Linked DNA regions of Caenorhabditis elegans. The protein of the gene in region 1 interacts with the protein of each later gene in a pairwise test. Each region holds a gene or a part of one and is shown in the gene's direction. Other genes may lie near its edges.

Region 1 (6,824 bases):
ATTTAGGTGGGGAATATTACAAATGAATTGTGTCAGCTTTTCTCTCGTTTTTTTCCTGAGTCTCGCAGCAAAGTTGTTCAACTCGAAACTCACCAAACTAAGGAAAAAAAATAGTATTCCCACTATTCTATATTTCAGCTCGGAGCCGTCCTATGCCCCCAACAAAATGCACATGTACTGCAAGTACCCCATGGACGTGAGGGGAAGAGAATGTGGGTTCGTGGGGACCCTTGCTGACTGCATCACACACATGGGCACTCACACGTAAGTTTTTCATAAAATGCAAAAATGGAAGAGTGTTTGACGGACTAGACAACTATCTGAAGGGACAAGAAAATATTAGCCGGAAAACACAAAAATGTTGAAACTAGTGCATTCAATTGCGCGGGAATTCAAATGTGATTCAGCCATTTCTTGCAAGTTTGAGAAAAATAACGTTGATTTTGGTTCATTTTCTATACCACCATGTTACATTGTAATATTACATAATTTTAATTTCAGGAGGACTTACCTCTACCGTTGCAAGAAGTGCTGCATGGATCTCACGGATCCGAGCCAACTCTACAACCATCACAGCGTCACCAATGGAGACCTGTGCACCTCGAAGACCGCGGAAATGGAAGTACTTCCTCCGATAGGAAGAGATAAATCGGTGGATCGTCATAGGTCGCTGAACGTATTTCTTATGGTTATATCGAAGGAAGAATACCATAAGCATAGGACTTCCTCCAATTATGCCCACAACACTCGGAGGACTGGAGGAACTCCTGCTTATGATGATCTTCCGTGTTTCAATCAGATCTCGAGGAAGAAAACATCCTACAGCCACCAGGTTCCGGAAATCGATGTAGAGCTCAACAGTTCTTCCACATCAGCTCTTCCAATTAAAGAAGAGGTTACTACAAGGAGCCCTGCACCAAATATGGGTTTTTGCGAAGTACGCCAGCTCCCAAAAGACTCCAGAGGGCCTCAGAGAGATGGCTCCTCATCTCCTGATGTTCAGTTCATCAAGACTGTGACTATGTCACGGTTAGAGAATGTTGTTCCTACCAGCTCACGTGGAAAGGCGCCAGAAGATTCATCTGCACCAGCACGTCTAGGATTCCTCTCCGATCGTGCGGTCTCCGGGTCATCAATCCCAGCCGTCGAGGAAAGATCTGGAGAAGGCAGCTTCGACTTTACAGGTCCTTCCACTCCTCGCTTGGCCCAGCCAGCTTTTGGGAACTTTTTTGGGAATAGGGCGAGTTCTTCGTCTTTCGGTGCACCATTGTCAACTCTAGCTGTGGACAAGCTGATTCCGGAACCTCATCTCTCCGGAAGCAAAGCGGTCCCAGACCATCGTTTCGATTTCAAACATTTCAGACGTCTCCGAGCAGCGGGAGGAGGGCCCCTCAAGGCGATCGCCGATGTCTCCATCTAATCAACGGGGACGTGGAGCAGGACACCAGCCACGTAACAGGGAACATACACCGAAATCGCCATTGAGAAACCAGAGGGTGAGTAATTTGCAAAATGACCTAGTTTATTCCTCGATCATGCGAAAAAACCAACTAAATCTATCTGTAAATTTCACAGCGTGGTCGCCGAAGCCCCTCGACAGATGAGTGGACCCCCAGACGTTCAGAGCATCACCATCGTCGTGACTATAGAAGAAGAAAGCGGGATTATTCAAGAGATCGCTCACGCCATCACGGAGATCGTTATTAAATTCCATGTTGCATCTCAATTTCTTTTTCTTCGATTTCTCGAGTATTGAGCCTTTATTCACATTCCTTCTCGTATGTTCATAATAAATATTCTATCTACGTTAAAAGTAAAATATTCTATCTACGTAAATCTCCTTGTCTAACGCTCAATACACAACACAAAACATTCGCCTATTTCTTAGACTCGTAAAACTTCCTGATTTCCTTATGAATTTGCATGATCAACGTGCTGCTGTTTCACTATGAACATTTTCTACTCGTATGTTATCCGAACGGCTTTTATCAATTTAAAGATTAAACTCCAATATTTGAATGGAAATGAAGATGTGATGGCAATGATCTATTCATTACTTCTTCTTCTGTCTCGTTAAGAAACAAGATTTCAGCCGTTGCAAAGAATTATATTTATTAAACCCTCAATTCAAATTTCGCGCTCTTTCGAAGACGGGATATCGGAGTGTCGTTGTTTATTTTCAATTTTATTTTTTATTCGCAAAAAATCAATATTTGACTTTTTCTTCTATTTAAAACAGTTTTTGTTGAATTTTTCCTTTCATATAAATATTATTAATCTTTAAAATTTTTATGTTTATATGATTAAATCTTCCTTATTGCCATTAATTGTGTATTTTTCCAGATCCTAAAATTCGATAAACAACCAAAATGAAGAATAACGAGGATTTAGACGAAGTAGTACATTTATCGCAAGTAAAATAACTAATTTCAATTTAGTTTTCCAATTTTCATTAAGAAAATCAAAAATTTTCAGAATTCCGATGCAATTTTCGAGGAATGGGCAGCTGAGTGCACTCCCGACGCGCAAAAAGAGCACGAAGAGCTCGAGGAGATTGTCAAGATTCCAGATTCGACATACAGAAAAAAGTATGAAATTTTTGTGCTAAAAATTTATTAAATATAAAATTGAAGGAAAGGAAATCAAAAGTTGCCGACGGTGACGACGTGCGAAGTATGTGGAGTTGCGTTGAAATATCCATCGAGGATTATGGTACAGAATATTTTATTTTTATAACAAAATGAAGATTTTTATTTGTTCAGGAACACATGAGAACTCACACAGGCGAAAAACCATACGAATGTGACATTTGTGGAATGAGATTCACTCAAAGAACTCCAATGATTAACCATTTTCGTGTTCAACACATGGGTGATCTCCCATTTCTGTGTAATTTCGGTTGTGGCAAACGATTTGTGAATAATTCACGCAGAACTGCACACGAATTAAGCCATAATGGATTGGTAAGAAAAGTTTTTATGCTATAGAAAAATTTAAAACATCGAATCAAGCATTTATATCCTAAAAGATTACCGGAATAAGATATATTTTTTGCAGAAGCGAGCAGGACCGGCACGGCCTTATCTGAAACCAGTTAAAAAGATTGTTTGTCCATCAATGGATATGGATATACTTTCAAATTCTGCACTAGCTAATTATATATCACCACCAACGATGTAAGTATATGCAGAAGTGAACTAAACTTGATAAAATAAATAAAAATTACAACAAAAAACAAGAATTATAAGATTTTACATTTTTTAAAAAGTGAATTGCGGTGTTTAATCAGCAATCTTTAAAATTGAGATTTTAACACTTTTTGTTCTTTAACAAATTTTAAAACAACATTTAAAAAATCGGTGTTTTAATTAATAAAAAACTTTGATAATTTAAATAAAACTCCTGAAAATTTCTAAATTCGAAAACTTCCATCTTATTTCCGAATTGGTAAATTTAAAAGAAATTAAAATAACTTTGCAGAGACTCAATATTTCAAAGTGATCCATCAACTTCTTCCTCTTCACCTTCTCAATTTCAATCATCAAATCAAACAACAAAACAATCTATATATCCATCAGAAAAAGAAATGGAAAAAGCTGCAATATCTAATGCTCGAATTGATGACGTTATTAATACAGTATTGGCTCGAGTTTTGGCTCCGATTGATGAAGAAATTCCGATCGAAGAACCAGAAAAAGCTCCTCAGAAAAGAGCATATATTTCAAATCGAAGAGCAACACTTGCACAATGCAATATTTGTGGATTAATGCTTAAACATCCGAGCAAAATTGCTGTTAGTTTTTTTTTCGATAAAAAACGAATTTTGGTGAAAAATGAAAAATTAAAATTATTTCAGTGCCCACAAGCTGAATTTTTGCTGAAAAATTGAGAATTGGACAGAGAAACAATTTTTTCGATAAAAAGCATTCGAAACTTGATTTTCTGAGCAAACAGAAAAAAATATTTGTAATTAAAATTTTTTAAATCAAAGCTTATAGGTTTAAATGTGTTAAAAAACAAAATTTCCAATTTTCTCTCTATTTATAAACCTCTCAAGTTCTGAAATTTCTAGAAAAATATAATATGATTTATTATATCGAAAATTGTTGAATTTTCTAAACTTTGAAATCAAAAATTACAATTTTTAATAAAAAAAAGAAAGATAAATTTATTTTTAAATACAAATTTCTTTCCCATTTTTCAGGATCATATCCGAACACACACAGGCGAAAAACCATTTGAATGTGGAGAATGTGGCTTGTCATTGTCAAAAGCGAGCTCTTTAAAAGTACATATTCGTCGAATGCATACTGGAGAACGTCCATTTGAATGTACTTGGAGATGTGGATTGTCTTTTGTAACGGATTCTGTTAGAAAAGAACATGAAATGACTGTACACACTGGTAAATATTCAAAATATATTTTACTATCCGAAATTTGGGTTAAAACCGGGGGTAATTTAGAAAAAGAAAGCAATTTCCATTTTTTTTTGTTGCAAATTTTAGAATTTTCTCAAATTAAGAGTGTTATTGAAAATATGTTAACTCAAAAATATTTAAAAGAGTAGTCATCTACAAAAATTACAATTTTTGAAACATTCCAGGTATAAAACGTTACACATGCGTTGTAAAAGGATGTAATGCAGTATTTGCTCGTCGTGTATATCTCATGAGACATCGAAAAAATGCACATCCCGAGCTCTTCACACCAATTTTCGATCATGTTCAAGTGAATCACGAGGAATCACAGGATTCAGTTATTGTTTATGAAGATGATCATGAACAGAACAATCAGATTATAATGCTCACTGGTGATGGTGATGACGTCAAGATCTTGGCTCATTTTGAAGATGATGAAGAGGAATTTGTGGAGCAAGGAGGAAGCATGGAAGATCAAAAAACTGTTCATTTTTGACCAGAAACTTGAAAAAGCTCTTTCATTTTCCAATATCTAGGCAACTTATAGGGTAACTAGCATTTTCTACTTCATATATTCAGTTTTCTATTCCACCCAGCAATTAGTTTTTAAAATGGAAGAGTTATTCAAATTTCAAATTTCTAGGCCACTATTAAATTTTGCATTTTTTAACCATTTTTTTCATTCAAATTCTAGAAAAATTGTGAGAATTAATTCTCACAATTTTCAGTTTATTTTGGTTAACCTACGAGTTTCTTTTTGCTTCTTTTTTTAATAAAGATTTTTTTTCTCAGATTTTTCAAATTTTTTTTCTTTTCCGTATTCAGTATTTTTACTGTTTAATTATACTTGCTTTTTTTTTATTGTTTGCCAATATATTTTGAAACTTTCTCCTTTCGCAAAAATTGAAAAGATGAGATTTTGAAATTTTTTTTAACATTTTCAAACTTTCAGCAAGCTATTTTTGAGCAGTTCGAAAAAATGTAGCGGTACTTTTTTTTTGAGCCCAATTTTCTATAAAATGTTTTAAAAGGGTTTAGAATGTAAAAAACCAATTAATTGTTTTTTTCAAATTTCACAAAATCCAAAACAAATTTTTTTAGATATACCTTTTTTAATTTGCTAAAAACTTTCTAAAGGTCCAGGAAGGCCCATAAAAAATTAACGTCGAAAAATAAAAATCGATATTTTCAGAAATGGCAGAATCTTGTGTAAAACCTCAACTACCTCGTCCTCGAATTCCAAATATTAGAGTTTTTCAACCAACTACTCGAATTCCCACATTTACATATGAACAATTCAACGAATCCGTCGAAATTCTTCCAAGTCGTCCCGAATGTCTTTATCGTCGAAATGATCCAACAAATCGAAGTTATCGAATGAAAAAACGACCACCGGCACAAATATATCATTGTGTTCAATGCAATAAGCACATAAAATATCCATCAAAAATAACTGAACACATTCGAAAACATACTGGAGAGAAGCCAAATGTTTGTTCAATTTGCAATATAAGTTTCAGTCAAGCACATACATTAAAAACTCATATGCAGCAACATGCACATGAAAAACCATACAAATGTTCATTTTGTACGGCTGAATTCTTGAATGTTTATGAAAAGAATGAACATGAAGAGGTGAGAAATTTTAATTTTTCGGAAATTCTTTTTTTGAAAATTTAAATAACTTTCTGATACGAAATTTCATAGATTTTAACTTGATTATTTTGAAAATCACAAAAATCCTTTTACTTTTGCAATTTTTTTTTGTATTTTAGAAAATTCAGAACTATCAAAATGCCATTTTTGCATATAGTTCATAGGAATTCTAGACGAAATCTTCTAGAATATCCGACTTTTAACGTATTTTCGGATCGTATGGATCGTATGAAAAAATAAAAAATAAAGAATTTTTTGGATATTTGAAAATGTGCGCAACTTATTTTTGATTAACTGTTTTTTGAACTGAAAAGTACTTTTTTATGATATTCTACAAAAATAGAAGAATATTCTGAATATCTCTGCCACTTCTTCAATTTTATAAATATTTCAGCAACATATGCATCATCCAAATCACGGTGAAACAATGGAAGAGAACAATGCAACGACGTCACAATTTATTCAGGTCGCGGAGCCAACAATTCAAGCAGAGCCGTGCCAAATTTACGAATGTTCTGAAATGTGCGGTTTTCAGAGTTATGAAGAAGCCGAAGTTGTCGAACATATGACTGTCACACATTATCAGCAAACGGTATTGAGATTTTAATGGAAAATTACTGGAAAATACGTTCTAAATTTGGAAAAATCCCCTTCTCGAAATTTTTTTTGAATTTTCGGTGTATCAAATCGCAGAAAAAGTTTTCTAGAAACTTTTGATTTATCCAAAATATGTTGAATTCAATGAGAAAA
Region 2 (9,524 bases), on another chromosome or scaffold:
AAACTTTTAGACGAAACTGCCCCTAAATGCCGAGATTTTGGAGTAAACTCCTTTTTTTTAATTATAGCGCTGTAGCATATGCCGGTTAAGTTTGCTCTATACAGACAAGTAGACAGATATGTTTTGCCTACATAAAATAATTTTCCTAATCTGGCATTAACTACTGAATTTCAGATGATGTCAACGTATTCTTCCTCATGGAACTTGGCTCAACTCCACTTGCAGTCATAAATCCACGTGTCTGGTTTGGAATGTTTATGTGTTCTCTTTCATACATGTCTGTGGAGACTGGATATCCAACTGTCGCTATTGTCACTATTGTTTCAATGCTCATTATTGCCTACGCAATGGAGTATGTCGATTATAGAAAGAAGCAAGAAACTGAGAGAACCGCTGTCTACCAAATTCTTCCACTTGTCGATGAGAAGAAGTTCAGAGAACAAGAAATGATCTAACAATACTTTTCGTGTTTCTAAATGCTTATTTTAGTCAAATTGACTCAAACTCGAGTGATTTTATCAAAGATTTCAAACTTGTATTTTATGCCTCATTTTCACATTCTGGTTTTTCTTGTAATTAAGGTACTAAACTATAAAACTATATATTTTATTGACTCTTTTCATATTTTACTATTGGATATGTATATCAATATTAAACCCTCATAAACTAAACATAATTGTCTATTTTAGAGTTGAAGCCAACATTCTCTGGTGTGTATGGTTAAACTCCATGGCAACCCGACAGCTGTTCTTTTTGTTTTTGCACGAACACTTTCTGATTAGATTCTGAATATGCGAAAACGCCTGCTCGTATAGCATTTCCATTTCAGAAAAATTCGGCTAGAAATTCAACATTTTAACTTACAGTAGCTCATTTACTGTTATATTGCAATAATCTCTATTTATTTTCTCGGCATTCATCCCTCGAAATCTTTTTCTTTGCTCGAAATTGACTGGGAATTCTTGAAAATTATTCAGGAAAGTCTGAGTAGCTAAGAGATAAATCTTCAAAAAGGAGAAGAAAAGTTATATATGTCCAGGAATGGGTTACTGTAGTCATATGCTGCTTATTCGTATGTTTTTTTGGTGGAGCGGCAGCGATTTTAAGGTCCTCCGGTTCGCGGTGAGAGCTGTTAGTGTATATTTAGAAGAAGTTTTTTGAAAAATTCAGTCAGATGGACACTGATATCTTCTCGGAATACAGTAATCTTTGTGTGAAAAAGTTATATATTTTATTAACGATTTATCTTAGAAAAATTGTTAACTGTCAAACGAATGCTCTGAACATCTGAAAATCGTGCACTGTTCAATATGTTACACATTTTCGCTTTAAGTTCCGCGTTCAGCCTCACTTTCTAACCACGTCTGTGATTACACGTCTTCAGCGTTCGGTCATAAACTTCTGATTCTCCCTCCGTTTCGTCTATTTGTCGTAAGAATGTGTGTAGTCGTGTGAAACAAGTCTTTTTCGCCCTTTCGTTTTTAATCAGCTTCTTCACACGCAGACAGCTGATTCTGCTTTTGCAGTTATAATCTATGTCTTCTCATTCTCTCGCGCGCAACCATCGTTTATTTCAAAACGGGCGCATAATAACTTTTTAATGAGTTTGATTTAGTTTTGAAAAATAATATTCACATTCCTTAGAAACTATGGAGATTCACAATTCGGCGAAATCAGTTTCTACATATTACTGTGTACTTTTTACAACTTCTATGATTTTAAAGTGGCGAGTTTATGCGGAATGGTCTCGCCACGCTCTGCGATTTTTTTTTCAGAAATCTGGTATGTGCGCCTTTAAGATTACTGTAGAGGGTTTGCTGGCAAATCTCCAATTTTCTCGTTTCTCCCTTTTCTTCATTTTCGATTGTTCTTTTCCCAATTTTCTGTATTTTATGTAATTAGACATGCCAGAAAAATCTCTACAGTCATCTTAAAGGCGCACACGCCAATTTTTTCATGAGTTCGCAGTGCGTGGCGAGACCATTCCGCATTGATACGCCTCCCTTTAAAACCGTAGTAAACAAACACAGTCTCAAATCTTCAATTAAAAATGCTGGCTCTCGGAGCCATAATTCCATGTTCTCTTTTTCTCTCAGTCTGTGTTCATTTTACATGCGTCTTCCTGCTTTCTCTTCGTTTTCTTTGTGTGCGCCCATCTTTCCTCAGCTGCTGGCCTCAAAAAAAAGTTAGTGCAAAAATTCACGTATTACTAGGAGGCACATGCGAGAACGCGTCGCGCACATAACATGAATAAAGTGTGATTGGGCAGGAGACCGAGAGATTATTGCTAGCGAATAGCATGCAAACAGAGGAGTGACAAGACGACGAGAGTGGACACTCGAGAGTAATGTTCGGCGGAGCGCACTTTCCTCGATTTTCGTGGGCCGACCCTGGTGGGCGCTGGGGGCTATTTCCTCTCGGTTTTTCGATTTTATCTATATTTTTTTCTGTTTCTCCGCTTATCTTTACCGCACGCAATTTCTGACGAAAAGGACACCGACCTACTGCAAAGTGGTCAAAGAATACCAGTCTCTCAATGCATTTTAGGTGACACATCAAAAAGATTCAGAGAGATGGAGTTTTCAATGATTTGAGTTACTATACGATGCCTTACGTGTCTTGACCTACATTTAAAACTCTACCAAAGATCCTTGTCTAAACTTTGAAAAGCTGCTCGACCTCAAAAATTGGAGAAATATATATATTTAAATATGAGTCATTTTTCAGCTTAATTATTTATACAATATTAAGTTCAAATCAAAAGCTTAATAAGAAAAAGCTTAAAAGCCAATTTTAAAGGAGTATAAGCTAATTTTCATTTCCGGGTTTCTATGACGTCTATCATAACACTCGTGATGCATCTTGTTTCATCACATGGAAATTTCTCGTCGGTACTTAAAATGTTCTTCTTCTCAAAGCTTTTAATTTCAATTAATATTAAAGTCAAACAAAAATGAAATTTACAGATCTCATGAAGCTATAAGCCAAACTGAAAAATGCGTGCACGTCGTCAAGAGAACAGTATCTCGACGCCGTCAGCACCGTCGACGAGCACTTCTCCGCGGAAGAAAGCATCCATCGGAAATTCAAGATCTAAGAATCATGGAAGCAAAATGGAAATGTACGATCAATTCTATAAGGTTTGATTACTAAGACATACATAAGGTGAATAAGCTTTCATAGTTTTCAGAAATTCGTACGACCTCCAATGGCTCCAATTTACTACCCGACAGAAGAAGAGTTCTCAGATCCAATCGAGTATGTTGCCAAAATACGACACGAGGCCGAAAAATTTGGAGTTGTTAAAATTGTTCCGCCGGCGGTAAGTTATTTATTCGGAAAATTGTACGTCTGACGTTTAACAAGTTTTTAATCGTTTTTGAAAAGTCTGAAAAAAAGCGAAACAATGTTTGTAGTAGTTTAAAAACTTCTACTACTCCCTTCAATTAAATACTAAATATTAGAAAATTTTCAGTTTACTAAAAGAATGGTCACCACTTGAAAAGTGCAATTTTATCTGAAAATTTTTGATTTTTCCCTCAAAAAACGAATCGAGAAGCATCAACTCTCTTTTTTTGCAGAATTTCAAACCACCGTTTGCTATCGACAAAGAAGCCTTTACATTTCGTCCCCGAACTCAAAAACTGAATGAAGTGGAGGCAATTGTCAAAGAGAAACACACATTTATTGACCGATTAATCAATTTCAATCGATATTCTGGTCTAACTTTTGAGTTTCCAGTGGATCGAGATGGAAATATTGTCGATTTGTATCGATTACATCGTATAGTTCAAAACTTTGGAGGATGTGAAGAAGTGAATGAAGATGAAAAATGGAGAGACGTTGCCCGCGAATACCTTCCAAAGGAGCAAATGGCTCGCGGTGTTCCGTCGGCTTTCATAAATTTGATTCGATCACATTATAATTTGCACATTGAACCATTTAATCGAAATTTGAAAGAAAAAGCGATGAAAAATGATGATGAAAGTGATGATGAAATGGAAGAATTAAAGCATAAGTGAGTAATTAAGAAATTTAAATAAATAAAAATCTACAAATCAGTTAAGAAAACATAATGTAGATGGATTTTTTTGAAATTATATGCATTTTAAATTTTTCTTATGTACCCATGTTTTTGTTTTTTAGAACCATGAAAAAATGTTAAAACCGATAAATAGTAAAATTTTTAATTTTGTTATTAATAATTTCCCCCATTATTCTAATTAAAAACGAATGAATTTCATAGATATCAACATCACCACGGAACTATGCGGACAGAAATAGAAGTTCCAAATGATAAAACTACTGAAGGAGGGGAAGATGAGTGTCCAGTGTCGATGCAAAGTGGTCGACGGAGATCTAAAAATAAGAAGGCTTCATCTTCAAGAAAGACTCTTGGAACATCTTCAAAGAAGAATTCAACCAGAGGAAGAAGTTCGTTTTTTAAATTTAAATTTTTTAAATTTATTTTCACAAATTACAGAAAATAAGAAGAAAGCCGAAGGAGACGATGATGATGATGAAGATCCAATGGATCAAGTATTCTGCGTTGCTTGTAATGAAGGAAAGGATGAAGATCTACTACTTCTTTGCGATATTGATGGATGCAATAATGGTCGTCATACATATTGTTGTGATCCAGTACTCGATGAAGTACCAGAAGGCGAGTGGAGATGTCCAAAGTGCATTGAATCAGAGGATGCAAAAATCGGATTAGACTGGGGATTTTATGATGCGGACACAGAATACAATCTGAACTCATTCACTGAATTTGCCAACAAATGGAAATGTGATTATTTCGGTGTAAAAGATGTATCACAAGTGTCGTGTGATGCTGTGGAACGATCATTCTGGAAGAATGTAATTTCACACGAAAATCCAGTTTCTGTCAAATACGGTGCCGACTTGATTACGAGTCGAGTAGGAAGTGGATTTCCTCGAAAAGAAGATAAGCACACTGGCCCAGATCTGAAGCTGAAGCAGCAATACGCTTCACATGCATGGAATCTGAACAATATGCCTGTACTTCGAGAATCTGTTCTCTCACATTTTAATACTGGAATTTCTGGAATGATGGTACCGTGGGTCTATGTTGGTATGTGCTTCTCGACGTTCTGCTGGCACACCGAAGATCATTGGACGTATTCTGTTAACTATAATCATTTTGGAGAACGGAAAATTTGGTACGGTGTTGGTGGAGAAGATGCTGAAAAGTTTGAAGATGCATTGAAGAAAATAGCACCTGGATTAACTGGAAGACAAAGAGATCTATTCCATCATATGACTACAGCTGCAAATCCTCATCTTCTTCGTTCATTGGGAGTTCCAATTCATTCAGTTCACCAGAATGCTGGTGAATTCGTCATTACATTCCCACGTGCTTATCATGCTGGTTTCAATGAGGGACTCAACTTTGCGGAAGCTGTCAATTTCGCTCCAATTGATTGGCTATCAAAAGGTCGAGAATGCGTTGAGTCTTACTCAAATGTACGAAGATATCTTGTATTTTCTCATGATGAGCTTCTCTTTAAAATGGTTGAAGCAATGGATAAACTTGGAATTTCGATGAGTTTAGCAACACATGAAGAACTGATAAGAATATATGAAAAACAAAAAATGTTGAGAGAACTTCTCGCTCGCCTCGGAGTTTCCAATCGCCAAATGCAGCAAGTGATGTTCGAAAAGATTCCAGATGAACAAAGATCGTGTCGTTTTTGTAAGACGACTCTCTTCATGTGTGCATTGGTTTGTAACAAACACAAGAAAATGACTTGTGTTGAACATCATGATCATCTTTGCAATTCGTGTACAACGAAAGACTACAGATATCAGTACAGATTCGAGTTGGATCAATTGAACAATATGTGTGATGAACTTGGAAAGCGTACGGTTAACTACAATGGATGGAAAGAAGAGTCGGATGAGATGCTTGAAGAAGAAGGAAAACCAAAACTCGAGAGAATTGAAGAGTTTATAGATTCTGCCAAACAAAACAAGTATCCACAGACAGATCAAGTTCATAAATTGATAACAATTCGTCATACAGCCAAGAGTGCCATTGAAAAAGCAAATCAATTGCTCTTTAAGAAAGTACGAACGCGAACAAAAACCCGATGTCAGAGAGCCGACACTCGTACAGACACCGAGGGAGTACGGTCATTGATTGAACAAATGCAAGCCATGGATTGCAATTTGACTGTTATTATTGATAAACTTGAGAAATGGATGGAACAAGTTGAAATGTGGAGAAACAGAGCAAAAGATGCTATCTATCGAGAACAAGAATACTCAAAAGAAGAAATCGAGAAGATTATTGAAGAGGGAGATGAATATGATATTAAATTGGAAGAAATCGATGAGTTGCGAAAAGTTATTCAAATGAAGGATTGGTCGGATAGAGCAAGAAAAGTTACTACATGGAAGGCAACTCCCGATATGGAGAAAGATATTGATTTTGAGTATAAGCTTCGATATGCATCCAGTGATATTTTATCGTAAGATTTTAAAAATATTTTTTCTCTTAAAAGGAAATTTGTGTTTGTGGATTTTTCCTCGAATGGGCTCGGCCCAAAACGACCGAATTTCATGATGAGACCTTAAAAATATTTCCAAATACTCTATACCCCTTTAATTCAAAAATTCAATTATATGTTTCAGATTGATTCGTGATAGTCCACGAAATCCCACAGATGGTACTTCTAAACTCGTCTTTGAACTTCAACAAATGCTCCGTGACGCCAATACACTCGAGGTCATTGCAAACAATTTCTGTGAGAATCCAGCACTTGATCAGCTTCAATCAATTTGGCAAAGCCTTAGAGAAACTGATTGGTTCTATGAAAAATGTTTGTTATTTAATGCATTAGTAATTCTTACAAAATAATTTTTAAGATATTAACATGGTTCGCTATGAGATCATTCATGTTGCCAAAATCAAGTCAATGATAGATGCCGCAATTCCCGTGCTATCAGAATTTGATTTAAAAACACAACTGCAGAAAATTGTCAATGTTGAAATTACACTATCGAAGGCGGCCGAAATCAGTAAAGCATTCGAAACTTCAAAATGTCTAAACGGTTCCGAAGAGCATCTCGGGATTTTGGATATGATCAGCACAATGAATGCATTTACTCAGAGGATAGCTATTCTGTTCAAGCCAAATAATGCGTATCACAATCTTTTTGAAGTGAGTGAGATTCGTGAAATTTGACGATTTTTCGCAAAAAATACGGTACCCGGTCTCGACACGACAATTTTAGTTAAATACAAACGAATGTGCGCCTTTAAAGATTACTGTAGCTTCATAATTTCGTTACTGCGGAATTTTCATAGATTTTTCATAGTTTTCGTTATAAATTTATTTATTTAATAAAAAACTATGTTGAAATAATTAAAAACATGAGACAAATACTAAGAAAAAAAAAGAAAAATCAAGGAAAATTTCGCAGAACCAAAAATTTGAAATTACAGTATCTTTAAAGGCGCGCACCTTTTTAAATTAAACGAAAAAATTTCGTGTCGAGACCGGTGACCGTATATTTGGGTAACATTAATCCAATCAGGAAGTAGCATAGACATTAGCTTCGATCTAATTTGCCTTAAACTTGAATTTTCCAGATTCTCTCCGAACGCGATGATTTAACTCCACTTGCTGAAGGACAAACGATACCATTATATTTTCAAGGAGGCGCAGTACATCCATCTGATGAATGGCATCAAATGAAAGAATTCGAGTCATTAGATCAAATTGTGCATCATCAATCATCGCTACGTGAAATGCAAATGAGAATTTTTGAAAAGGTGAAACAAGCAAATTCAGCTCGTGGTCTTGAAGCATGCTCATGTCTTGGATTCAACAAATCAGATGATTCCGAATCAACACTGACATGCATAATGTGCGATTCAGAGTTTCATGTTCGATGTTGCGAGTGGTCACCGTTCCTTGAAAAACTTCCAGAAGGATGCTTTTTATGTGTTCGATGTCTACGGGGACAACGTCCAGTCATTGATGATGTAACAACTGCTCTGAATGGAACACCTTCTGGATGTTTGGAAACACATCTTGTTCGAAATCTAATACAAAAAACTCGTGGAATCACTCAAAATTTGATGGAAGCTGCTAATAAACGGAAATCAGGAGAATCCAGCGACGATATTTGTAAAATTGCCTTATTCGATTGGCTATCGTGTGAAATTCTGAATCCCAATGGTCTTCCGAAGGCACGCGAGCTGATTTCAGAATTTTATATGGAATATCTTCAAAAACAGTCAAGGTTTGTACACATTATATGTATTAATTTTATTTTTAATTTTTTCAGCGCCGCACTAGAACTCAAAAATCGCCCGGTTCGTTCAAAACCATCGGTATCACTCTTCGATCCAAAAATCACAGCTAAACGCAAAAGGCCAAGTGTTTCACACAAAGAGACGTCGAAAAAATCACGCAAACGTCAAAGTCAAGCATCACCCAGTGAATATTACGAAGACGAGTCTGAATTCAAGTCGTGTCAAGCTCGCGCCTGTTTGAAGCCATATGGAGACTCAGTGAACTGGGTGATGTGTGAAGCAGGCTGCAAAAACTGGTTCCATGTGATTTGTCTTGGATTCACTCTGAGAGGTAAATTAAGATCGGGTTTTGTGGTTTTTTGGAAAAAAAATTTAATTGTAAGGAGAAAAAAAAACGAACCTTTGTTTTGTGACAGACCTGATCTCAAAAAAAAACTTTGTGCCAAAAATACGGTACCCGGTCTCGACACGACAATTTTTGTGAAACACAAACGGGTGTGCGCCTTCAAAAAGTATACTGTAGTTACCAACTCTCGTTTCTGTGGGATTTCATTGTCGTAAAACTTTAAAAAATTTTAAAAACTTCCGCGTTTTTATTTACTCTTTAAAGGCACACAACTTTTTTGCAAGTAAAAAAAATTGCCGTGTCGAGACCGGCTACCATATTTGTTCAATTTTGCGTATTTGCTAATTTAACAATTTTTTTTCAGAAATTAATGACATGCACGAGTACCGTTGCTCATCCTGTCTGGATCATGCGGACTCTCCAACTTCGAGTGTTTCCACCGATTGAACCAGATTATATATTGCTTCACCAGTATCATATTTTCTAATTAAATTTATATAATACGTTCATCTTTTCACATCAACCCTAACCATTTTCATCAGATTACTGTCATATCTAGCCACTCTCTTTATTCTCTGTAATTCCAGCTACTCTGGATTTTCATCTCCATCATTTTCCTCTTTACTTTAATCGTTCTCAACACTATAAGCTTTCTCCTGAAATTCAGAAAATGTACCGTATTTCAAAACCACCAAACTTTACCACAGCTTCTTTCCTTTCATTGCATTCTTCTTCTTTTCATCGCGCAACCTTTCTCTCTCCAAAGTTTTTTAGTTTCCTCTGTTGAATCTCGCTTCGGGTTTTTTCACCCTAATCCATTTCCACCATTGACTGTTTTTTACAATTTCTAATATCCCTTTGCCTCATGTTCGGTCTTAACTGAAAAACTCT
Region 3 (7,852 bases), on another chromosome or scaffold:
GAAAGATATTAGCAGCGACAGTAGAGTAGCAGCAGTAACAGCTTCTAATGGGGGGAATAAGAGAGTGTTTGTTATCTGATGCGAATAGAAGGAAACAACCTAGTTAAGATAGCGGCAAAATGAGGGGAAAATAGGAGTGAAGGAGAGGGGAGATTGAAATATGAGATTAGCTTCTTCTTCTTCTCCATCTTCTTCGTCTTCTTACTTTTTATGTGTTAGTTGTGCGACTGATATTGATCCGAAGACGATTTCTAGGTCAGTTTGGCTAGATTAGGATTTTCTGATCCTTAAAGGCTCTAAGATCTAAGCTCCACAAGCTATCCTAGATCTTATCAGAAGGTTCTCGGGTCCTGCCGATCCTTGAAGGCTGAAGATTCGCTCTATCCAGGTTCTAAAGCTGCTCTAATCGTTCTGGAGAATGTTCGGATCCTGGTGATCCTAGATAGGCCAGAGAGCCTGTGATAACCCTCTTAGCCTGGCAATCCTGGGCTTCAGGTGAAGATTTCAGATCATCTGATCGTCCCATATGCGATCCTGATCCTTATCAGAAGCTCTGAGTTACTTGGTTCTTGTTGAAGATCCCCGCATTATCAAGAATTTCGAACTCTACCACCCCAGTAGGTCAAAAGTACAGTACCTCCACCTTCTCCACCTCATCATCATCATCATCTCCATCATCATCGATACAGTATCTACCTTTCTTTCAATTTCCATCACTTCAACCATTATGTGGTCGTCGTCATCGTCGTCGTCTCCACCTCGATAATTAGCGTATCGGCTGCGGCGGCGGCGGCGGCGGCGTGCGTGCCGCAGAAGGAGACGAGTCAATGATTACCTGTAACTCGAATAGACTTTCCACCTCTTCCTTTTCTTATTCATTTTAGGAGAAGAAACGACGACGACGACGTCTTATTGTTCACCACCGGCACCGACAATTAGGGGGAGATGAAACTAGTGCACGCGTGCGCGCGCAAACAATCCAGCCTCAACGTCGTCATCATCATCACCAATGACTTTTTGGTTCCGCACGCCAATCCATATCGAAACTTTGGCGGCGGGGGTAGTTGTAGGGAGGATCCTGAGGATTCTGAGGATCTTAAGAAGCACCAGAGCTTCACTGTTTCCTGGAATAGGTCGATGATTCCCGAGGTGGAACATCAGAGAATAACCTAGCAAGGATATCCCAACAATCTTGAGGCGATCGCTCAAGATTCTGATGATCTGTAGAAGTTTCATTGGTTCCAGTGATTCGAGGATCCTCAAGATTCCGGTGTAAGGTGTAAGATCAGCTGATCCATACCCAAGAAGACCTTCCATTAGTTCCACTGGATCAAAAATTCGGCAATTACGGAGTGATCCCCCTCTCACCACCACTTTGTATCTCCCCCCTCCTTTTGCTGATACACGTACACTCACTCTCACCCTAATTGCCCACCCCGCCGCCGTCTCCGAAGATGGAAGACCACCACCACCCCTATTGTTGTCTCTATTGTGTGTGCAAATTGAGAAGAACGTTCCGCCCTTAGATGGATGTGTGTGTGTGTATCTAATATGGCCAAGGTTATGAAATTGGGAGAAATGATAATTGGCGGTGCAGGAAACGGGACGATCACGACCGGACAGACCAGATGTCTGATTAGGAGACAGGTGGATCCAAGAATCTGACTTAGGATCCGGTGAGGCTATCTAGGACAGAAGCTTGGTGATAATGGAGATCCCAACGAATTCTTTGATATGCTAGAACAACCGGAAGTCTTTAGATCGAAGCTTAAGCCAAAGGAGACCTCCGATCCTTCCGATCCTTCCATCGCTAGGATCCCCTACAGCCTCTAGTAAGAACATTCACATCATCTGCGGATCCTTCTAAAATTTACCAGCGCGAAGATCTATCCGAAGGATCTTTCCACCGATATCCTGAGATCTGAATTTTCTGGGAAAATCTACAATTCTACAGAATCCTTTGATAAGATAATTCTGACCCTTATGCTGCTTGGATTTCTGCGCGATCGATTGTGGCGATCAACCACACTGGGATACTTAGGATCTTAAGGATCCTCACAGTACCCCCCCCCCCCCTCTTAGAAGCTCCTAAATGCCTAAGGATCCTTCCAAAAGCTCACCCAGATCCTTCCCACCTTAACAACTAATTCATTTTCCAATTTCCAGGTTCGCCGACCAATAGAAATGCGCAAAAACCACATCCAACAACGCTACCGCCGAAAGAACAAGGAAAAAGAGTCGTCGGCGGCAACACAGATCTTCAACCAACTCCTCACACAAATGCCGACGATGGCGACCGGCGGAGTGAGCACTGATGGAGCCATCAACACATTCAATTTACTCGAGCAAATCTCGCAATTCACGCAGGCTCAAGAGCTCATGAATAGCAGTGCCACATTTTAATTATCATTATTATTTTTTCCCCCTTCACATCCTTTTTATGCACAATACCTTTATGTAATTTTTCTTATTTATTGAAATTTGAAATTTGAAATTCTCCATAATGTATTATTGATTAATAAGCAATCCTTCATCATTCCATTACCCCTTCAGAAAAATACAGTATTAAATAATTTTCCGCCAATTTTCTAATAATAATTGTGCCCCATTTCCCCCAACTTCACCGCGTGTTTCCGACTGTGAGCTTTACCTCCTCCTCCGACAACTTATAATAATAGTTAGGCTCCGCCCCATTCTGCAGGAGGCCCCTCCCCCAATTCTCTGTGCATGGTTGTGTTATATTCACCTCCTCCCACCACTTTGTCATTTCACTTGAATCATCATTTTTGCATTTTCATATTTATTTTGAAAAAATCTCATCTCACTCTCTCTCTCTCTCCTTATCTCTTGTGGTTTTTGACGGATAAACGTATGTATCTCATTCTATCACTTTTAGCTTTTAACTTCGTCCTCTCGCTCTCTCGCACTCTCCCCTCGCTCCACAGTCTCTCTCCGTCTCTCTCTCTCTCTCGCTCTCCACTTCTTCTTCTTCTAAAACAACGTCACACGTGATTTACAGATGACGTCGTCGAAGGAGGAGATGCCGGATGAGATGGTGAGCCGGGAGGTGGAGGAGGAGATGGAGGATCGGGTTGAGGAGACGGCGACTACAGCAGCAGCGTGCACCGGATGCGCTCAGCTTCACAAGGATATTCGACAGGTGCATATTATTTTGTTTAGCAGTAGGCTCACGCGCCTGCCTACTCTCGACATTTGGCTCCAGCTTCTTGCCCAAGTTTGGCCTAAAAAATATTAACTTGGATAAGAAGCTGGCTAAACTTGGGCAAAAGTTGGGCAAGACTTTGGCAAAACTAAAATCTGGTCAGACTTCTACCCAAGTATAACTAAAAAAAAGAAAATTTTGGACCAAAGTTTGGTAAGAGTTGGGGGAAACTTTGGTGCAGCCTGAATCCAAGTTTTGCCCAAGTTTTGCCCAATTGCCAACTAGAGCCAAATGCCGATAGGCAGGCATACATGAAGTAATTCTCGGATTACCAGAAACATTAAATTATTTTTCATTTCATTGAGAATTTCTGAAATTCTAGGAATTTGAATCGCCGCGCTGAAAGCTCCGGTCTATTCGTTTTCTTACAGGATGTTTCAAAAATGATGTCGAAAATTGACGAAGTGTGCGGAAGGCTTGAAGCTCTTATCAGTGAAAAGGAAAAAGTCCTGCTTGAGCAAATGTCCGAGAGCGGAAGCGAGGAGAAGGTGAGATTTTTGACAACTTTTAGCGGCCATGTTGCAAAAGTTCTGCGGGAAGGAGCTGGTGGAACTTTAGAAATAAGCCAAAATGGGCTGAAACTGAGCTTATTTCGCAGCATTTTCCCGCCGCCTGACAATTTTCGAGAAAGAAACTGAATCTGTTTTAAAGTTATTTTCTCAGTTTTTCGCGATTCTGAGCCATTCCCAAGAAACTTGTTTATTTTTGCATCCACGTTGATCATAACTTCCTGCTGTGTCCCGTGGTGCCAGGCTGTCCCATCACGGTTTGATCTACAAAAAAATGCGGGATTTTCTTTGTTTCTTCAAGTAATGTGACGTCAGCACGTTCTTAACCGTGCTAAATCAGTTGAGAAGTCTGCGTCCGAATTCTCGCGATTCTCGTAGATCTACACGTAGATCAAACCGAGATGGGACACTCTGATACCACATGTCATAATTGTAATTTCTGGAAATCAAGAAGACCAAATCACGAAAATTTTAAATTTCAGTATCCCCCATCACCAACTGAAAGCCGTGCTTCTCCGTCATCAGTCGGAAAGTCGAATGGAGGGTGCCGCAAACGGAAACCCACCAAAGAATCTGTGAATCGACATTTGGAGAATGGAGGTAGTGACTCGCCTTTTGAGAAAATCACAAGGAATATTTCGACGCCGGTTTCCGCGAGCTCTCCGTTTCCCGATTTTCAGAATTTCAACGGGTTTGTGTGTAAGTTTCATTGACTTTAGAAAAATAAAGGTTCTTAGAGTGATAAAGCTTTTAATAGAACCACATAGACCTTGGAAAAGACCTGAAAGAGCTGCCATGCCTACCTGCGCAGGATATCCCAAGATCTTTGTACAAATCTTTGAAAACTTTTTAGTCGATCCCATGGCCAATCCACAAAATATGATGAACTTGCTAAACCTTGTGCAGCAACAACAACATCAAGCCGCTGCTCATCACCATGCTCAACAGCAGGCGAGAGAGCAGAAGCCCGTAAAAGCCGAAGAGTCAAAGCAGCAGGAACCGTCGGAGAACAGAAACCAATCGCCAAGTGCGTCTGTTGAGCAGACTCTGCTCGATCAGCTCTCTATGCAGTTCAACGGGGTTAGTAGCATAGTCTTCAGACCAGACTGCTAAACCAAGACCTAAACCAAGTCTAAATTCCAGAAATCACCATCACCAACAGTACACGCATCCACCGCCGCGGCGGCTGGTAGCTCGGAGGACGATACAAGTGCCAACTCGTCCATCTCGAAATGCTCCAATTGCTCCACAATAAAAACGACAGCGTGGCGAAGGGATTTGGAGGGGAAGCTTGTTTGTAACGCGTGTGGATTGTATTATAGGCTGCATAGGGTGAGTTGGCTGAAAATCTGAGGGTTACTGTAGGTACAGTGGTTACTGCTGGAAACTCTTACAGAGATTGAGCCCATAACTACTGTAGAGAAGTACATGACGCCTAGCTAGCACTCAAAAAACCAAAAAAGGAGCTTCAATAGTGTTGACCCAATTCAAAACACACAACCTTGACAATATATATATATCCGTCGTCGCGTTTCAAAAGATAATTAGAAGATTGCGCGTACGCTCGTCCTCCGATTACCTCTTAGAAACCCATAGGGGCTGCTGATGTTATGTACTACTTCTAGCTACTGGTCCACTACCACCACCACTACCCATCTCGAAAGGTCGTTTCCGACTACGACGACTAATTATCGATGAAAATTGAATGGGTTTTGAGTGAGTGAGGAGGATCTTGATGATGGTTTTTGTGGTCAAGAAAGAGAGAGAGAGAGAGAGAAAGAAGGAAAAAAACCAAAAGTGTGAGCGAGTTAACGAGTTAAGGGAAGTATTGAATGAATCTGGAGAAGGGATTTATAGCTTAGGTTTGGCTTATATTAGGCTTAGGCCTAGGCCTACATTTAGGCGTAGGCATAGGCTCAGGCTTAGGCTTTGGCTCGGCCTTAGGCCTAAGCTTAGGCTTAGGCATAGGCTTAGTCTTAAGCTCAGACTGAGACTTAGTCTTAGGTCTAGGATTTGTTTTAGGCTTAGGCTTAGGCTTATGCCCAGGCTTCAGCTTAAGCATCGGCTGAGGCTTAGACTTAGGCTTATGCTAAGGCTGAAACTTAGCCTTAGGCTTAGGCTTAGGCTTAAGCTTAGGCCCCCGAACTACTTTTTGATGTTACCGCTGGTTTTGAGAAACTACACGTCCGAAAAGTCTGGAACCTAAAACCTTGACAAATGACATTCGGATAACCGGATGTTCGGTTTGTGAGCCCTAACTGAACCAAATAACTCGCAGCATTAAAACGTTTAGGATTCATCTGTGGAGAGACCCAATTTCAGACCTCATTTTTCAATATTCTCCCCCCTGAACTCTACAAATTTTCAGACACATCGGCCGGTTCACATGCGAAAAGATTTTATCCAACAGCGATTCCGTAGAAGAATGAGGGAAGATGAAAATGTGAGCCGTTGTTTTGCTCAATTTTTTTCCAGCGAAAAAAAAACTCTTTGGAAAAAACTCTAAACTTTTCAGCCAGCAACCAGTCAAGCAGCCGTTTTCAGTCAACTTCTCGGCCTACCGAGCATGGCTAACGGTGGAGCCAACGCGCTGACCTTTCTCGAGCAAATTAATCAGTTGAATCAGTCACAGGAGCAGCGCAAGTCTCCCTGATTATTATATTTTATTATCTCGTGTGATATATCCCCCAATGTCCCCTCCCGATCAACTGTGAGCTTTATCAGTATTTCCGTTTTCACTTTTCCAACAAAAAATCCCACTGACCCCTGCGGTGGTCTCTGAAAAAACAAAGAATCTCAACATTTTTTTTTTTGCAATTTAAATTTTTATTGTATTCCCCCTTATTAGAAGTGCAGGTCTCTTTCACTTTGTCGCAATATCTGAACAGAATAATCCCAGCACCGAGTTTATTTGTGTGCATATCCATGTTCCTTTAATAAATATTATCATGCAGGAAGGAAACTTTTAAAAAGGTTTAAGCTAGTTTCAGATCAATGAAAGCTTTAAAAAAGGGGAAACTTTTGGGTCCCGCCACGAAAACCTACAGTAACCCGGAGAACTTCATGGCGGGACCCTGTAATTTACAAAGGAAAACATGACATTATTGTATCCAGATTGAAGCTCTCAGATTGATGAATTCAATGTTTAAAATTATATCCCACCACGAAATTCCCAGGGTTACTGTAGGCTTTCGTGGTGGCCCAAATTTTCTCAAATTTCAAAGAAGTATGGGAAGCTCATATTTAATTAACATCTCTCAATTGCATAAAAACCTTAAAATCTGAAATTTCGAAATTTGAAAAAAAATTTGGGTCTCAAAACGAAAATTCTGAAAATTTGTCCAAACCTCTGGATTTTCAATTTTTGGTATTTTTCCTAGATTCAGCTCGCCGAGAGCTTCAAAATAAGTATAATCATGGCTAGGTTTTGATAGTTTTGAAAATTTTTGGGTCCCGCCACGAAATCCCTCGGGTTACTTTCGTGACTTTCGTGGTGGGACCCAAATTTGTCATGATAAGACTTAAATTGAAGCTATTAGTGAGCTGATTTCAAATATATCTGTAAAAATGGACATTTTTGGGTCCCGCCACGAAAACCTACAGAAACCCGATGTTTTTTGAGTGTCACTGTTATGTCTGTTATTAGTTGGCCAAGTGTTTTAAAATAAGTATAATTATGTCTATGTTCAATCAATTTTCAAAAATTTTTGGTCCCGTCACGAGTTTTCGTTTCGGGACCCAATATTTTTGAAACCTTATTACAACTGATTAGATTTGAAAGTTAAAAGCAAGTATATTTAATAACTGTTATTTTAATAAACAAAAAAAATTAAATTTTTTTTTTAATTTCCGCAAATATTTGAAATTTTCACAGTTATTTTGTTATTCAGCGTATTTTAAAACTTTAATTTTATTAAAATTAGTATTAAAAAATCTTATAAAAATGTTTAAAAATCCAAAATTTGACAAATTCAAGGTCCCGCCATGAAAACTACCGTAACCCGGGGATTTTCGTGGTGGGCCCTGACTTTTTTAAAATTTTAACAACTTAATGAAACATTTGAGTTCATCAATCGGAGAGCTTCAATTTGAATACAACCATATAAGGGTCCCGCCGAGA
Region 4 (5,627 bases), 5.5 Mb from region 1:
AAGAGTGTTTTATATTTTGAAAACTCTGTAATTTTTGCGCATCTTACAGTAATTTTAAATTTTTTGTAATTTTGAAAAATTTGACTTTTGAAAATCGTTAATTTTGGTTATAAAGAAATTAACAAAGAAATTTTATAGTATTTGGCTTTTTAAAAATTATATTTTTGAAAGTTTAGCCATTTTTAGAATTTTAAAAATTAAGAAAAATTAAAAAATTAAACTGAATTTTCATAGAAGAGTTTTCTAACACATAGGCCAGGTAGAGAAAGCCAAAACATGCCATTTTTCCTCCCAATTTCCACTTTTTCATATACCTTCAAACAATTATAGCCAAAATGAGCACTTTGAGCTGGTGCCAAGTGCCAGGCGTGAGAATATCACAAGTGTATAATCAAAGCGGAGAACTCTTTATTTTTCAAATGTTTCCTTGGAAGTATATAATACTCATACGGGTGTGTGTGTTTTAATGTTCAGCATTTTAGGTATTGATAAAATAAGTTCAAGCTAGAAATTTTCCTTGTTTTCCCAAAAAAAAATTTTTAAGGTGGGGTACCGAAATCTGGGAAATATTTTTGAATGAATCCTAATTTTCCCCTGATTCCGAGTATCTATGTGAAAAAATTCAAAATTCAAAACAAGTTTGCCAGATTTTATATTTAAGCTTGAAATCGCCGAATTTCATTTGTATCCCGGTCTCTTTTTTAAATACGCGCTCAAATAAATTAGCATTGGAGCGCGCTTGCATTGTTTGATTTTTTTTCGTTTTTTTACATTTTTTTCAGAAAAAAAAAACCGACAAAAATGAATGAAACTGGTTTTAAAAAAATTGAATTCGGCTAAAATAAAAAAAACTAAACGAAAAAAAGTCAAACGATGCACGCGCGCGCTAATTTATTTGGGCGCGAGTTTGAAAAAAGTGATGCGAGTACAAATGAAATTTAAAAAAAAAAAATTTTTATGAAAGATTTCAAGCTTAAATATAAATTCAGGAAATTTTTTTTGAATTTTTTCACATAGATATTCGGAATCAGGGGAAAATTTAGGGTGAATTAAAAATATTTCCAAGATTCAAGTTTTTTTGGTTAGACCCTTATTAATTTTTGCGTGCTGACGTCACAATTTTTCTGGAAAAATATTCCCGCATTTTTCGTAGATCAAACCGCAATGAGACAGCCTGACACCACGTGTATCGGTTTATTTTTAAGATACCACATGGAAATTGACAAATTCTCGATTCACCATGACTAAAACTAGAATATTAATAAAATTTTAGCTATAAGTATTTGTCTGTTGCTTCTCGACAAAGCTGTAGAAAAAGTTTCGAAAAATTGAATTTTTGAATTTGAATTTTTGATTTTTTTGATCCCAAGTTTTTTTCCAGTTCGTTCCAGTAATAATTATATATATATCTAGGCAAATAAATCTCCCCTCGCTTGAAATAAAAAAAAATAAACTCAAGACATATCAAATAAGCAATCAACTTTCATGTCCGCTATATAAGGTCTGAAACATTTATGGAAAAAGTTTGTTTGCCACAAAGATTTATTCGTTGACATTTTTTAAGAATGTTCCCAAGATGGAAGTCATGAATTTATACTTTCTTGGAATAATTTTATTACCAACTGTTTTCTGATTTTTTTTTGGTTAAAAATGTCCCCCCGTCTCATTTCATTTTCCCGCTAGAATATATTTTTTCTCCTGCAACCTATAAACTTCCGATAATTGATGATATTTAAATAAAAGTGTTCAGTGATATTACGGAAAAAATGCAAAAACCTCAAACTTTCCAAAATAACGTACGACTTTTTAAAAGTAAGTAATTTACATTTAACATGCGTAGTATTATGTTTCTCTAGTTTTACATTTTCCTCAAGTTCTAATAGGAATATATCAAACTTCAAAAGAAATTTAGAGCATTTGGGAGCAATTTGGGCTCGGAAAATTTTTTTGGTTTTTTTATTGTATTTTTAAATTAAAAAAAAAAGAGCCGTGAAATTGCTCAAAAAAAAAAAGGTTTTTTTGCGTGCGGGTTGCATATCCTCATTTTAAAAGTAATTTTTTAGGCTATAAAAATATAAACTTGTGAAAGATATGTTTTTTTCTGGATTTTGTGAATTTCTGGAAATTTCTCTTTCTTTTTTTTCTACCCTTCCCTCACCCCCGCCTGAGCTTATTCTGAAGCCAACACCTAAGCCTAAGCCTAAGCCTAAGCGTAAGCCTAAGCCTAAGTCTGAGCATAAGCCTAAGCCTCAGCCTAAGCCTCAGCCTAAGCCTAAGCCTAAGCCTAAGCCTAGGCCTAAATTTAAGTGTAGCCTTAAGTCTAGACCTAAGCCTAAGCCTAACAATAAGCTTATACTCAGTAGACATCCTTACAAAATTAATTCGATTTCCATGAAAAATTGTAGATCAACCTTGCTGGTCTATTCAAAAGGTTTTTTTCAAATAATTGAGGTTATATTTGAAAGTCCAAGTATTACAAATTAGCACAATAATATCACATGTGCCTCCGCTACTCCAAAATTTCAATTCAAATATTTAAGTTCAAGAAAAGTATTTAATAGTCAAGTATGAGAAACTCATTCCCTCAATTGCATCAAGTATCATCCCTTACCACCAATCCTCCTCTCCCCCTCCTCCTTCTCGAAATCCGGTCTCTTATTCAATTTGCTGGCTCATGCTCTTTTTGTCATCATCTCAGAACTCACCCATCTTCTTCTTCTTTCCACACCAATTGCGCAATCATTGTCGACCACTTTGGCAAATTGTCGTCGTCGTCAACCGTCAAAAGTCCCCCGAGAGTCCAGAATTTCAATTATTTGATTGAAGAGAAGGCGGGGACCTCGAGACCTACTGTATAGAGAAGTCTCTCAGAAGTTCTTTTCATTCGTGCAAAATGGAAACTGACTTGCTCTTCCAACTACTTCAACCCTATTTTGCACTGTTGACGTCTGATGTGAAGCCTCAGAGAAGAACTAGTCACCTGATAAAGGATATACTTGACTTACCAACTGTTAATGGAGAAATTGATGAATTTGGAAGATGCAGTAAGTTGATTTCTTTGGATTAGGTGTATGAAGTTTTGTAGTTGAAAAATAGACTAGTTTTGGGCATGGTGCATTTGAGGTGAAATACTATTCTTTTTGACATGGTGCATCGATTCGTATTTTCTGTAATAGTATTTCACTGGCCTTTTTTTGAGTAAAAATTACAAAAATTACAAGACACAATTTTTATTTCCTTTACTCTCAATTTTTGTTTTAAAATATTAGAAAATCTGAAAAAAATTAAAATGTTTTCGAAATTTTGGAAAAAAAATTTTTTGGAAATTTACTAATTTTGTTCAATGAATTTCGGAAAAATGCTACACGTAGAAAAATAATCAGCCGTTAAGAATATTTTTTCAGAATCCAGCCTCGACCAAGCCAAAGAGTCTCCTATAGAAAAATGTCAAAAAACAAAGAGAAAGAAGGCGCGGACGACATTTTCCGGGAAACAAGTATTCGAACTGGAGAAGCAGTTTGAGGCGAAAAAGTATTTGTCAAGTAGTGACAGAAGTGAGCTTGCAAAACGATTGGATGTCACGGAGACGCAGGTAGGCACGCAGCGCGGCACGCAACGCGGCACGCAACGCAGCCCGCAACGCAGCACGCAACGCGGCACGCAACGCGGCACGCAACGCAGCACGCAACGCAGCACGTAACGCGGCACTCAACGCATAGCTGAAATTTCTCAAATTCCAGGTGAAAATCTGGTTCCAAAACCGGCGTACCAAGTGGAAGAAGATCGAATCGGAAAAGGAAAGATCTGGAGAAATACCGGATGATCAGATTGTGAAGCCGCAATAATTTTATGTTGTTTTTATTTTTCAAAGAAAAAGTCGTGATATATCCCCTTCTATGAAATCCCGTGAACAATTAGTATTTCCAGTATCTTTTTTTCAAAATCAAGATCTCTTCCTTTACCTTGATCTCCATTCTTCTAATAAATAATTATTGCAAAAATATTTACTCGCTCTATTGATAGCTATATTGTGTACTCCACGTGGATATTTTTATTGAGGGTGCTCTTTCTTTTATGTCTCACACGTTAAAAATTAAAGATTACACGATAAAACATTTTATTGCAGACCCGATAAGTACGTCAAATTACACACACAAACACAATTTCCTACAGTCTAGGCAGTCATATATTTCGAGCAGTCAACACTGTTCTTAGTTGTTCTGAAGAATGGGCACTTGGTGTCTGGGCAGTTTAGTGGAATGGTAGGATCTGACAGATTGACTTGATGGTTCTTGGATCCGACTGGTTGAACGATATTGTTCCACAAGTGCTTGGCAACATTGGCGTGGCCTAGTTTTGAGAAATGGAAGCAATCCGGTGCAAACCAATCCAGATTGACTTCTCCGTCGGGCTTGAGTGGTGGAACTGTGATTCCATTGAAGAATGGTTGAACGACAAATGTAAAGTCATCTGTTGAGTCGAAGATTCCCGAGTCTTGAATCTCCTGCTGAGCATCCATGTAAAGATGGCAGGCAGCCGAGATGTCGGTATTCGGGAAGTCCTTGTTCTTCTCGCATGGGCACTCGAACACATGGAGGCCGTCGCAGAAATACTTGTCGTGGTCGATTTGGCGAAGCATGGCCATGTCGAACATTCCGGTCATGGATACGATGGTTCTGGAAGGACTTGGTATTGATGGCATAGTTATGGACCATACTCCTCTTTTTGAAAAAAAAATTTCCATAAAAAGCCGAAAAATGTTGGCTCTTATTATCGAAAAATACGATCGCAAATTTTTTTCATAATTAATTTTTGATCTACCTTTGGAAGTTGACTCTGCCCACGTGGTGTCAGAGTGTCTCATTTTGGCTTGAATTACGTTGATCTACAAAAAATGCGGGAGAAGAGACGCAGAGTTCTCAACTGATTTTGTATGGTTAAGAACGTGCCGACGTCACTTTTTTTTTGGGCGAAAAATTCCCGCATTTATTGTAGATCAAACTGTAATGGGACAGCCTGGCACCACGTGTTTGCCCATAATCTTGTTGCCGTTGTTATTTTGTTGTGGCTGTCTTGTCGAAGGAAGGGGAGGAGCCTAGTCAACAAGGTAGATCAAAAATAAGTTACGAGAAAAATTTGCGATCGTATTTTTTCGATAATATGTTTAACTTTAATTTATAATTGGCACGGAAACGGCCACAATTTTAAAGATTTTTTTGCGCCACTGCTATGGGATCAAGGGTGTGCCAAATTTCCCGAATTTGCCGGTTTCCGAGCAAGGCAAATTTCAAAAATTTGGACATAATTTGTAATTTGCCACAAATGTTTAACAACTTAGTTTTTCCATCAACTCGGTACTTTTTGAGCACCAAAAAATGATGCGCTTTACCGAGTCCGACAACCACGGCAAATTTGCCGAATTTGCCCGAGCAAGGCAAATTTCAAAAATTTGGACAAATTTGGAATTTGCCACAAATGTTTAACAACTTAGATTTTCTGTTAATTTTGGCACTTTTTGAGCTCCAAAAAATGTTGCGATTTACCAAGTATGACGACCCCGGAAAATTTGCCGAATTTGCTGGTTTCAAAATTTGCCACACAGCTCTGGACCATGTAGGTATTTATAG

Evidence for each region.
Region 2: the proteins of let-391 (region 1) and rbr-2 interact in a two-hybrid assay, tested with the Caenorhabditis elegans proteins (one large-scale study listed by BioGRID).
Region 3: the proteins of let-391 (region 1) and elt-6 interact in a two-hybrid assay, tested with the Caenorhabditis elegans proteins (one large-scale study listed by BioGRID).
Region 4: the proteins of let-391 (region 1) and ceh-9 interact in a two-hybrid assay, tested with the Caenorhabditis elegans proteins (one large-scale study listed by BioGRID).

Annotation. Positions count from the first base shown.
Region 1 is NC_003279.8:6,036,062-6,042,885, forward strand, and holds let-391 (C2H2-type domain-containing protein), read left to right. Parts: upstream 1-2,341; 5' UTR 2,342-2,369; coding exon 2,370-2,396; intron 2,397-2,475; coding exon 2,476-2,588; intron 2,589-2,633; coding exon 2,634-2,712; intron 2,713-2,762; coding exon 2,763-2,963; intron 2,964-3,057; coding exon 3,058-3,176; intron 3,177-3,480; coding exon 3,481-3,793; intron 3,794-4,204; coding exon 4,205-4,403; intron 4,404-4,603; coding exon 4,604-4,914; 3' UTR 4,915-5,206; downstream 5,207-6,824. Other genes in the region: C27A12.4 (C2H2-type domain-containing protein), read left to right, coding at 139-264, 502-1,420; szy-5 (C2H2-type domain-containing protein), read left to right, coding at 5,613-6,053, 6,469-6,666.
Region 2 is NC_003282.8:10,917,111-10,926,634, forward strand, and holds the start of rbr-2 (Lysine-specific demethylase rbr-2), read left to right. Parts: upstream 1-2,959; 5' UTR 2,960-2,996; coding exon 2,997-3,140; intron 3,141-3,183; coding exon of another isoform or gene 3,184-3,190; coding exon 3,191-3,322; intron 3,323-3,581; coding exon 3,582-4,018; intron 4,019-4,246; coding exon 4,247-4,434; intron 4,435-4,483; coding exon 4,484-6,494; intron 6,495-6,657; coding exon 6,658-6,845; intron 6,846-6,891; coding exon 6,892-7,187; intron 7,188-7,618; coding exon 7,619-8,274; intron 8,275-8,319; coding exon 8,320-8,618; intron 8,619-8,997; coding exon 8,998-9,080; 3' UTR 9,081-9,524. Other genes in the region: ZK593.3 (High-affinity choline transporter 1-like), read left to right, coding at 175-455. UniProt on the Caenorhabditis elegans protein: Histone demethylase that specifically demethylates 'Lys-4' of histone H3, thereby playing a central role in histone code. Does not demethylate histone H3 'Lys-9', H3 'Lys-27', H3 'Lys-36', H3 'Lys-79' or H4 'Lys-20'.
Region 3 is NC_003282.8:1,914,958-1,922,809, forward strand, and holds elt-6 (Transcription factor elt-6), read left to right. Parts: upstream 1-3,019; coding exon 3,020-3,160; intron 3,161-3,594; coding exon 3,595-3,711; intron 3,712-4,214; coding exon 4,215-4,431; intron 4,432-4,585; coding exon 4,586-4,812; intron 4,813-4,875; coding exon 4,876-5,064; intron 5,065-6,100; coding exon 6,101-6,175; intron 6,176-6,247; coding exon 6,248-6,385; 3' UTR 6,386-6,687; downstream 6,688-7,852. Other genes in the region: Putative transcription factor egl-18, read left to right, coding at 2,167-2,403.
Region 4 is NC_003279.8:563,658-569,284, reverse strand, and holds ceh-9 (Homeobox protein ceh-9), read left to right. Parts: upstream 1-2,696; 5' UTR 2,697-2,893; coding exon 2,894-3,044; intron 3,045-3,404; coding exon 3,405-3,592; intron 3,593-3,740; coding exon 3,741-3,845; 3' UTR 3,846-4,001; downstream 4,002-5,627. Other genes in the region: Y65B4BR.1 (Lipase_GDSL domain-containing protein), read right to left, coding at 4,175-4,676.